Sus scrofa: one gene and its partner. The protein of the gene in region 2 interacts with the protein of the main gene of each other region in a pairwise test. Links are inferred from orthologs where the notes say so. Each region holds a gene or a part of one and is shown on either strand. Other genes may lie near its edges.

Region 1 (5,247 bases), on a different chromosome or scaffold from region 2:
GCTCCCCTCCCCCTGACCCATTTTGGTCAGCTCCCCTCCTTCCTTCTCTCTTCTACCTTACTCTCTTCTCTCTCAGCATTTAAAGGTGTTAAATCTCTTTTGTTCCTGACACCTCTCCTATTAAATTAGCGTTCCGCCGCCTCCTCCAGGGAGGCATCCAGTCTCTGCTTCCTCTTTGTATCCTGTCTTCTGCCTTTGTCATTCTGCTGGTAAAGATGACCAAAGATTTCCTACTGCCCAGCCCCTGGGATATTTTTAAGCTTAGGTCTCAGCTTATAAGACTTCCTCTACTGTATCTGATAATGAATGATCCTTTGGTGGAATTGGGGCTGGAGTGACACATCTGGCTCTCTTCACACATCTCTAACATCTCCCCTCCTCTCTATCCTTTAGGGTCTCCAGGGTTTTGCTCCGGGTCACTGCTCTTCCCACTGCTCTCTGGATGATCACACTTCTTCAGAGTTGTCACCACTGATATTTAGCATCTGAATCCTGGTGCCACCGCCAAATAGTTCTTAGATTCATCTGTATCTCTTCATCTCTGCTTCCACATCCCTGTTTATAGCTTTAATCAGTCACCTTTTTGGGATCACTCAAAAATGCTTTAACTGGCATCCTGGCCTTCAGCCCTGTGATCCCTCCAGTCTATCCTTGACAAGGCTACCTACACATGTGATCTGTCCCCAGTCACAACCTGACCATATCACTCACTGCTCACCACCCCAAAGGGCTTCTCACCCCCACAGCAGTGGTTCTCAATCTCAGATGAATATCAGAATTAATCACATGAAAGAGTGGATGCCTAGGCCTTATTTCCACATCTCCAGAAGCAGGGCCTGGAATCCAAATCTGCCTGCATCCCAGGTGACTCTGGTGCACAGCCAGTGAAGACTTAGTAACAAGGTAAAGTTCCAGATCTTAGACCACAATGACTGGCCTGGATGCTGCTTCTCCTCTGCATCGTCTCCTGCCATTCCCTGCTGAAGTCCTTCTGTTCCAGTAACTCTAGCTTCCCCCCATTCTCAACTCATGCTGTCCCTCTGCCAGCCTACCCTCCTTCTCACTCCCTTGCTCACTCTTCCTCCTCACATCTGAAAAGCCTGAGCTCAGTCACCAACTCCTCCTGGAAGCCTTTCCTGATAGCACTTCCTGAATAGGTGGGTTTCCCTTCTTGTTGTGGCCCAGATCCCATGCTTGTCTCAAGTACTGTATCGACCACACTGCATTATAATTATTTTTTGACTGTTTCCCATGACAGTTTCTTGAGGGCAAGGGTTGTGATTAATTTACTTTGGTGTCTCAGCTCCTGACAAAGAATAGGCACAGGTAGTTGAATGACTCAATGAAAAACTGAAGTCCACATATAACTTTGGTGACATTTAAATAAAAATTAACTTCAATAAATGATTAACTGCATGTTATTTTGTCAGCTGCTTACATTAAGGTTATTTAAAATTTATTTTTACTGAAGCAACAAATAGAACAGTAATGAGACAGGTGATTACTGAGACCTGCTCAGTTAGCTTCAGAAATAAACTCTTCACGATACCCAAACCACGGGCCCAGCAGAGTGAGCAAGCTGTTGATAGGGATGGACAAAGGTCCATTCTTCCTTAAATGATGGGTCAAAAAAGGCTGTGGTTCGAAAAAGCAAACACCAGCTGACACCCTGACCCTTGTCTCTTTCATCAGTGGGGCAAAAAAAACCACTGGGCAAGAGGGGTGGTGCACAAGACCTTTGAACCCACAAGTGGCAGCTGAAGGTCGGCAGGTGTAGAGAGAATAAATACCCTTGACCAAATCACTCCTGGAAATACTGAAAAGTGATACTGTTGAGGCAAAGAGTAAAATATGCTAAAGAAAAGTTTATTAACGGAAAGCCTTTTTTACCTGATTCAATTTTGTTAAGTATTTTTCTTGCACACTGTACAAAGGCCTCTTCTACGTTCTCCCCTGTTAGTGCACTTGTTTCCAAAAACATCAGCTCTAAAATTGACATCAAACAAAACACGAAGCCATGTTTAGAAGACAATTGCAATTATTCAATTAATAACTGCCTGTTTAATATTCTCTTAGAATGGCAGGCAAAATGTAATTTATTACTTAAAACCATGTATTTCTGCAAATATAAAATTAATATGTGTCAAGATACTTTTTTTAAATATTAGAAGAGTTCTAACTTTTGATGAAAAGTAACTAGTATTTTGTTCTAGCATTTAAATCAAATAAACTAAGCTAGCTAGAGGCTGGTTAAGGAAGTGGGCTGGCTGATACTGCCCAGCTGTTGATATAAGACAAAGGAGCCATTTCCTTTCCAATAGCCTTTATGTGACCACAAACGCAACCTGCAATCCTGGGGGGGATTACAGGGCGGGCAGTATGCCATCCTGACAGTGAAGGGATCCTGTATGAAGGTGGGCTCTTCTTCCCCCACCCCCTCCACACCCATGACATGTGGAAGTTCCAGGGCCAGGGATGGAACTCACACCACAGCACTGACAAGACTGGGCCTTTAACTTGCTGAGCCACCAGGGAACTCCAAGGAGTGCTCTTCTTATCCACCAGCTGGTATCTCACCCAGCAGAAAAGTCGCTCTCCTGAGCAAACCCTAACCTCTCCGGACACTGGCTTCCTTGCTTGCAAAAATGAGGTTTATTTAAATAACAAATAAATTCCTTTGAAGCTCTAACATTCTAAGCTTGCATACTTCTTAACAGCTTCTTTATAAACTCAACACGGCTTATGTTTTCAGTGCATGTTTATTTTCTCAGCAGAAAACTTGTTAATTTGCAACAGTATAATTTGGCAGTCCTAGAGTCCATATGAAAATTGATATCAGGATATTTTAGTTCTAAAAATTAAAGTTATTTAAAAACATCTGATTCCTTATCATTCTGCTGTCTCTAAGCAACCATTCATTTTATGTGTTATCCTCAGGTATTCTATATGGAAATTTAGAGAAGTTTCAAAAGCATCTACAGCCAAATGACTTAAATTTACTGTAAGTAAAATAAAGCCAATTAAGTCCAGTATTTCTTCTATTGCTTCTCTCTCTATTTAGTAACCAACTTAGCTTCAAGTTACATTTAAAAAAAAAGATGACATCATCTGATTAGGGGTTTTAGAAATTATTGTTACAAATTTCATTTAAACCAAGAGCTATAATACTCAAAAATCCTCGACTGAAATGTCATCACAGAATACTACGAAATGTACTTTTAGCATTACAGTAACTTTGTAGGCAGAATGTAACACGACAAAAATATGCCAAATAGGTTTAGGTTTATAAGGAAGTTTCGCATTTCCTAAATATGGTTCAATCTTAAAACTCCAATAGATGTGTAAAAGGTCACTTGCCGTTTTCTTGAGCAAATCTGGAGGCTTCTAAGAAAGTGACTTCACGATCAGCGTCCAGGTCCTTCTTGTTCCCACAGAGGATGATCACAATGTTCTGACTCGCTAGCATTCTGGCATCTGTTAACCAATTAGTAAGCGCATTGTAGGTTTCTCGGCTGCGTAATATAAGATTGTGAAAATAGCACATGTATTTTATAAAGCTAGCAACTCTTTCCAGTCATTCACACCACTCACACCACTTCTACACATGAAGGGCAACACCACCAACCTTACAGGTAACTGAGGTAACCTGAATGCCCCAGTGCACGCTATAGCCACAGACACCATGGCCACAGGGTGTGTTTCATTTTGTTTCCAGGAAAATGAGCAGCAAGTCAGAGAGCTTGCTGTTTGTGGTCTTCCCAATCAGGGTGCAAAAGGAAACAGAAGTTCCCTTGTTCATTTTACAGTAGTTGAGCTTTTATGCACAACAGGGTGATCAAGACCTAAGCTAACTGCTGCCATGCAAGGACCCTGCAACATACTTTGCTTTGTTTCACAGGGTTTATCACACTGACTCTCTGTGAAGACTCCATGACATTGACTCTTATTATCTTCCTCCTCCAGAAGAAACCTGAGCCCAGAGACACGAGCAGCCATTGGTCAAGCCAGGACCTGACCAGGTCCATCACCTGCAGAACTGTCTGCAGCCCTCACATATCTAAGGACAGATTTCCTCCCCTGGCCCACTTTGTGCCTGGTGGCTTCACTTTAGCAAACTGAACCTTTGCCATCCAGGCAGATGCAGAGAGCCTGGCAAGGAGCTGCCCACCTCTTTGCCAGAGCCCCTTGTTCTGGACCTAGGTTGGGTGTGTGTCACAGCAGCAGGGTGATACTCTCTCAGATGACATGTTTATAGGTGGTGCTGGCAAACACTGAGGTCAGCACCATCTGATGGCATTTCTTTAAGACAGGAAGTTCTACCACCTGCACTGTTCAACATAGCACTTCTGAGCACTTGAAATGGGAGAGTGAGACCAAGGAACTGAATATTTAATTAATTAAACTTAATTGAGATACCCGGGTGATAGCTACACACAGGACAGTGCACTCAGATCCTTATGATGTGCCAAGAGCTTTCTATTAACCAATCTAACCGCCCAAAAAGCTCATGAGTGCTGTACGGCCCTCCTTACGCCTTAAAACAGACAAGGAAACTAAAGTCCTGACAACCAAAGCCCCTCACCTGAGGACTCACATAGCTAGTGACTGACTGGGATTTGAACTCAGGCAATCAAGCTGAGAGCCTGTGCTTGGCGGACGCCAATTACTTCTAACAATTTACCACAGACAAAGCTTCATTTTGCAAACCCTAAGCAAAGTGCCAGAACATCATGCAGAAACTTAGTGAAACATGGGGATGCTTAATCTATCTAAGCTGTGTACTTTTTTACGAGCTAAAGCAGTGGAGGGGCTGGTTCAAAAACCTCCAAGACCCCTGTGGAAAGGGCTGAGGGGCTTCCTGCCTGCGGGCCATGCTGCTGGGGGCTGATGTTTATGGCGCAGCCCACAGGGAGGCATGGACCTGGGAGAGCAGAGAGATGGCCTCTTCCACCAGCAGGGGTGGGGTGGGGTGGGCGAGGGTGTCATTACCTGGTAATGTCATAGACCAGGAGCGCCCCTGCTGCACCTCTATAGTAGCTTCGCGTCACAGACCTGGAAGAGATACATTATTTTACTTTCAACCGATCAGAGCCTTTAATCCTGAGGACCATCTTCCCACACCAGTTTTTGCCTTGAAGACCTCCATAGATGGACAGATATAACTTTAAAGAGAAATGACGCCAAGTCATTTGAACCTGAGGAGCTATTCTATCTACAATTGTGTCCTAGGAGGGCAGGGGGTGGGGC
Region 2 (5,247 bases):
CATTGCTGGGTTCGATCCCTGGTCTGGGAACTGAGATCCCACATCAAGCCCCTGCATGCTGCGGCCAAAAAAAAAAAAAGTATCCAGAAAGGAGATGTCTGCTAAATGAAGATGGTGAGCAAAGGAGAGTTAGGAAGATTCTGAGCCTAGGTGTCAGGGGGCTCTGGAACGAAAACTGAAAGAAAGCTTGGTCAAGTGTGGGAGTGTAGTGATATGTGGCCTTTCAGAGAGCAGCCGGGGCTTGTGGGGTGGTGAGTGGTAGTTTGGTGATCCGGAGGGAGACTTTATAAAATGTGGCTGTGATTAGAGGTCCCAGGGGCATTCAGTTGTAGATGGAAGATGATGGGCATCACGTTGGAGGTCTGTGGGAAGGGCTTGGAGATGGATGGTGGTGCTTGCGGAAACTAGCTTGGGCCGATTTGATAGCAGACAGGATTTCCATGGTTGGCGAGACTGAAAAACTATCTGTGTGCCTGGGAGTTCCATTGTGGCGCAGTGGCAATGAATCCGACTAGTATCCATGAGGATTCGAGTTCGATCCCTGGCCTCGCTTGGTGGGTCGGGGATCCGGCTTTGCTGCGAGCCGTGGTGTAGGTCAGACGTGGCTCAGGTCCTGAGTTGCTGTGGCTGTGGTGTAGGCCTGCAGCTGTAGCTCCAATTCGACCCCTTGCCTGGGAACGTCCATATGCCTCAGGTGTGACCCTAAAAAAGCAAAAAAAAAAAAAAAATGTGAGAGGTTGCAGGGGGGCGGGCTGAACATTTGTTTTGCAGGCTCGTGGTCATTGGGGGCAGGGTTTCTGCTACCTAAGGAGTCGAAGGCCAGTTCTCCCTCTCTTGGAGGAATGTCAAGGGCCTTTGTAGGCGACCTCACCCATCATATGTCTCTGTTCTACCCACCAGCCCTGCAGGAGCGCTATGGGAAAGAGGCTGGGAGGTCCCCAGCTGCAAGTGAGGGGGAGGGGGACCCCCCAGGGGGCCCAGCTTCCCCTGTTCTGCCCCCCATGCCGTTGGCAGAAGTGGAGCTGAAATGGGCGATGGAGAAGGAGGAAAAGAGACTGCTCTGGGAGCAACTGCAAGGCTTGGAGGTGAATCTGGGTCTGTCGGGGCCCAGGGTGCCAGGACACAGGCAGATGCCCTGGCTGTGCCTGAGGTCCCACGGAGATGTCTGAGACATTACCCGTCTCATGGGCTGATGGGTTAGGGAGGCAGGAGGGCAGGGAAAGGCACAGACCTTAACCTCCTCCCTTGCTGACAACGACGCCCTCCGGCATCCTTCCCAGCAGACCTTGAAGCAGGCCGAAACATCCAGGCTGCAGGAAGAACTTGCTAAGGTGGGGCTGCTGCGCTTTCCCTGGACTTTGCCCCGCCCCCAGTCCCCACCTGCCATGCTTCCCCTGGCAGGGCACAAGGGGCAGAGTCCCTCCTGAAAGCCTCAGTTTTGTCATCTGTGAAATGGAGAGGCAGTTATGTCTCAGATCTGCTTTCCCTCCGAGATGGGCTAATGTGGTCCCTTCTATGTCTGGTACATAGCCGACCACATCCCATCCTTTTGTGTCCTCCCAGCTCAGCCTGTTCATGCATCTGTCCATCCATCCAAGCATGTATAGATGGCTGGCTCTTATGTTAAGAATTTAAAGGGAGTTCCCGTTATGTTAAAAATTTGAAGGGAGTTCCCGTCGTGGCTCAGTGGTTAGCGAATCCAACTAGGAACCATGAGGTTGTGGGTTCGATCCCTGCCTTTGCTCAGTGGGTTGAGGATCCGGCATTGCCGTGCGCTGTGGTGTAGGTTGCAGATGCGGCTCGGATCCTGCGTTGCTGTGGCTCTGGTGTAGGACGGTGGCTACACCTCCGACTCGACCCCTGGCCTGGGAACTCGACCCCGCGGGAGCAGCCCTAGAAAAGGCAGAAAAAAAAAAGAATTTGAAGGGGGCACAGTCTTTATGGCATTAGCTTGCTGTGGCCCCCTTTGCCTGGCAAGGCAATAAAGCTATCTTTTTCTCTTTCACTCCCCCCCACAAAAAAAGAATTTGAGGAGTTCCCATTGTGGTTAAGGATCCGAAATAGTCTCTGTGAGGATGCAGGTTCAATCCCTGGCCTTGCTCAGTGGGTTAAGGATCTGGCTTTGCCACAAGCTGAGGTGTAGGTCGAAGATGCGGCGGATCCATTATTGCCGTGGCTGTGGCCTAGGCCAGCAGCTATAGCTCCGATTGGCTCCCCAGCCTGGCAACTTCCATATGCTGCAGGTGTGGCCAAAAAAAAAGAATCTGAGACCCAGTGGTGAGGCAGCCAATCCCGATCCTGCTTTGCAGCCCTCCCAGCTTAGCCATTCTATGATGTGGCCATCCATCGATAGGGTTGGGGGCATAAATGCTTGGGCTTTGGAGCCTGAGGGAGCTGGGTAAAGGTCACATTTTTGCTGCCAACCAGCTATGCAACCAAAGTACCTAACCCTTCTGAGACTCAGTTTCCCCATTTATCAAACTGATAGTGCTCATTTCTCAGGACTATTTTGAGGATTCTACAAGATAAGTCCAGTTTCCTTTTTTTTTTTTTTTTTTTTTTTTGTCCTTTTGCCTTTTCTAGGGCCACCCCGACGGCATATGGAGGTTCCCAGGCTAGGGGTCAAATCAGAGCTGTAGCCGCCAGCCTACGCCAGAGCCACAGCAACGCAGGATCCAAGCTGAGTCTGTGACCTACACCACAGCTCAGAGCAACGATGGATCCTTAACCCACTGAGCAAAGCCAGGGATGGAACCCGCAACCTCATGGTTCCTAGTCGGATTCGTTAACCACTGCGCCACGACGGGAACTTTCAAGTCCAGTTTCCTAAAAGGACTTAGTAGGAAGTGACTGTACACGTGCAGTTTATGTTTTGTCCTTATTAATATTAATCTCACTGTTATCACGTGTTCTCCCCTCCCCCACCCTAGCTCTCCGAGAAACTCAAAAAGAAACAAGAAAGGTAAATTTTTTTTTTTCCCCCAGAGGTTGGGAAAGGGGCTTGTGGGGGGACTCTGGAGGGAGCTGACTTGTGGAACTGACCTGTGAATGCCTGTCTTTCTATGCCCAGTTTTTGCCGCCTGCAGACCGAAAAGGAGACACTATTCAATGATAGCCGGTAACTACCAGGGTTGGAGATATTGGTGGAGAACTGGGCAGTGCCCAGTGGCATTAACCAAAGTTCACAGGGGCAGAGCTGGGAGACTGGGCCTCAGGCCATGATCATTGTGCCCCCCCCCCAACCCTGCCAATCACCCCCAGGAACAAGATTGAGGAGTTACAACAGCGGAAAGAAGCTGATCTCAAAGCCCAGTTGGCCCGAACTCAAAAGCTGCAGCAGGAACTTGAGGCTGCCAATCAGGTGAGAGGCTGGGTTTTGAGATCACTGGGATGGGGACAGGTCTGGGAGTCTGGGGAGCTCTGAGGTCTGGAGAGGCTAGTTGGCAAGTCTGATATTTCCTGTGTTAGAAATATAGGCACTGGATGGGTCCTGGGCCTGCTAGGAGCTAGGGAAATGGGACCTAGAGAACCCCCAGAGCCTGAGGGGTTGGGCTAGGAATCTGCATGAATCAAAAACCTCAGGGGGTGGGGGGAGTTCCTGTTGTGGCTCAGCAGGTTATGAGCCCGACTAGTATCCAGGAGGATGCGGGTTCAATCCCCGGCCTCGCTCAGTGGGCTAAGGATCATCCGATGTTGCTGTGAGCTGTGGTGTAGGTCACAGATGTGACTTGGATCCTATGTTGCTGTGACTGTGGGGCAGGCTGGCAGCTGCAGCCCCAATTTGACCCCTAGCCTGGGAACTTCCATGTGCTGTGGGTGCGGCCCTGAAAGGAAGGAAAAAAATCTCAGGGGGGCTGAGGACTTGGAGGATCTGTGCCACAAGTTTGGCTGAATCTAAAATTCTGGGGGATTAGATGGAGTTCCCGTCGTGGCGCAATGGTTAACGAATCCGACTAGAAACCATGAGGTTGTGGGTTTGGTCCCTGGCCTTGCTCAGTGGGTTAAGGATCCGGCATTGCCGTGAGCGGTGGTGTAGGTTGCAGACGCGGCTCTGATCCAGCGTTGCTGTGGCTCTGGCGTAGGCCGGGGACTACGGATCCGATTAGACCCCTAGCCTGGGGATCTCCATATGCTGCGGGAGCGGCCCTAGAAAAGACAAAAAGACAAAAAAATAATAATTTTAAAATAAAAATAAAATTCTGGGGGATTAGAGACAGGAGTATGGAGAAATCTATGGTCATTGGACTGGGACCAAGAGTTGGAATGAGTCTGAATTCCCCGGATGTTGGGTTACTTTGAGACCTGTGGCAGCCGGGCAGATGTAAGACTTTCAAGGGTAAGACAGGCCTGGAGAGTGGGTCCATTTGAGACCCTCAGAGCTTGGGGGCTGGCTTGGGGCCTGAGATACCTAGGAAGTTGAATCATGCGGCCTGGGTGGTCCTAAGACCCCTGGAGCCTGTGAATAAAAAAGTGGCAAGTCAGAGACATCCAGAGACTGCAGCAAATGTCTAGGTGGGTCTGAGGCTCCCAAGGCTTGGGGGCTGCCTCCTGGCTTCCCCCTAGAGTGAGTGAGTTTGAGGTCCCTTGGATCGGGGGATATGGTGGCTCGTGGGTCTAAGGCCCCCTAGGAGCAGGGGACAGAAGTCTGGGTAAAGCTGAGTTTTCAGTTAGCTGGGTCCGAAGATCTCCAGAGACTGAGGACAGGTGTGGCAGGTGAAATATTGGTCTGAGGCCTCACCAAGGCAGTTGTATTAATATGCAACCTATGGGGTCTGGGGCTGTGCGTGCATGGATCTGAAATTCTTTTTTTTTTTTTTTTTTTTTTTTTTTGTCTTTTGTCTTTTCTGTTTTTTGGGCCGCGCGCATGGCATGTGGAGGTTCCCAGGCTGGGGGTCATCGAATGAAAGCTGTAGCCACCAGCCTACACCACAGCCACAGCAACGCCAGATCGGAGCCGAGTGTGCGACCTACACCACAGTTCACGCCAACGCCGGATCCTTAACCCACTGAGTGAGGCCAGGGGTTGAACCCATGTCCTCATGGATGCTAGTCGGGTTTGTTAACTGCTGAGCCATGATGGCAACTCTGGATCTAAGACTCTTGGGAACTAGGGGTATGGGGGGTTGTGTGTGTCTAAAAATCCTTGGGGGAGTTCCCATTGTGGCTCAGCGGACATGAATCTGACTAGGATCCATGAGGATGCAGATTCAATCCCTGGCCTTGTTCAGTGAGTTAAGGATCTGGTGT

What was found.
Region 1: the proteins of GRIPAP1 (region 2) and RAB4A interact in binary tests that used the Homo sapiens proteins (3 or more experiments, as listed by UniProt). The link is inferred for Sus scrofa from reciprocal best matches to the Homo sapiens genes GRIPAP1 and RAB4A.

The regions. Positions count from the first base shown.
Region 1 is NC_010456.5:60,489,512-60,494,758, forward strand, and holds part of RAB4A (ras-related protein Rab-4A), read right to left. Parts: intron 5,053-5,247; coding exon 4,990-5,052; intron 3,513-4,989; coding exon 3,358-3,512; intron 1,987-3,357; coding exon 1,891-1,986; intron 1-1,890. UniProt on the Homo sapiens protein: The small GTPases Rab are key regulators of intracellular membrane trafficking, from the formation of transport vesicles to their fusion with membranes.
Region 2 is NC_010461.5:43,056,296-43,061,542, reverse strand, and holds part of GRIPAP1 (GRIP1-associated protein 1), read left to right. Parts: intron 1-900; coding exon 901-1,085; intron 1,086-1,283; coding exon 1,284-1,331; intron 1,332-2,930; coding exon 2,931-2,962; intron 2,963-3,070; coding exon 3,071-3,118; intron 3,119-3,261; coding exon 3,262-3,361; intron 3,362-5,247. UniProt on the Homo sapiens protein: Regulates the endosomal recycling back to the neuronal plasma membrane, possibly by connecting early and late recycling endosomal domains and promoting segregation of recycling endosomes from early endosomal membranes.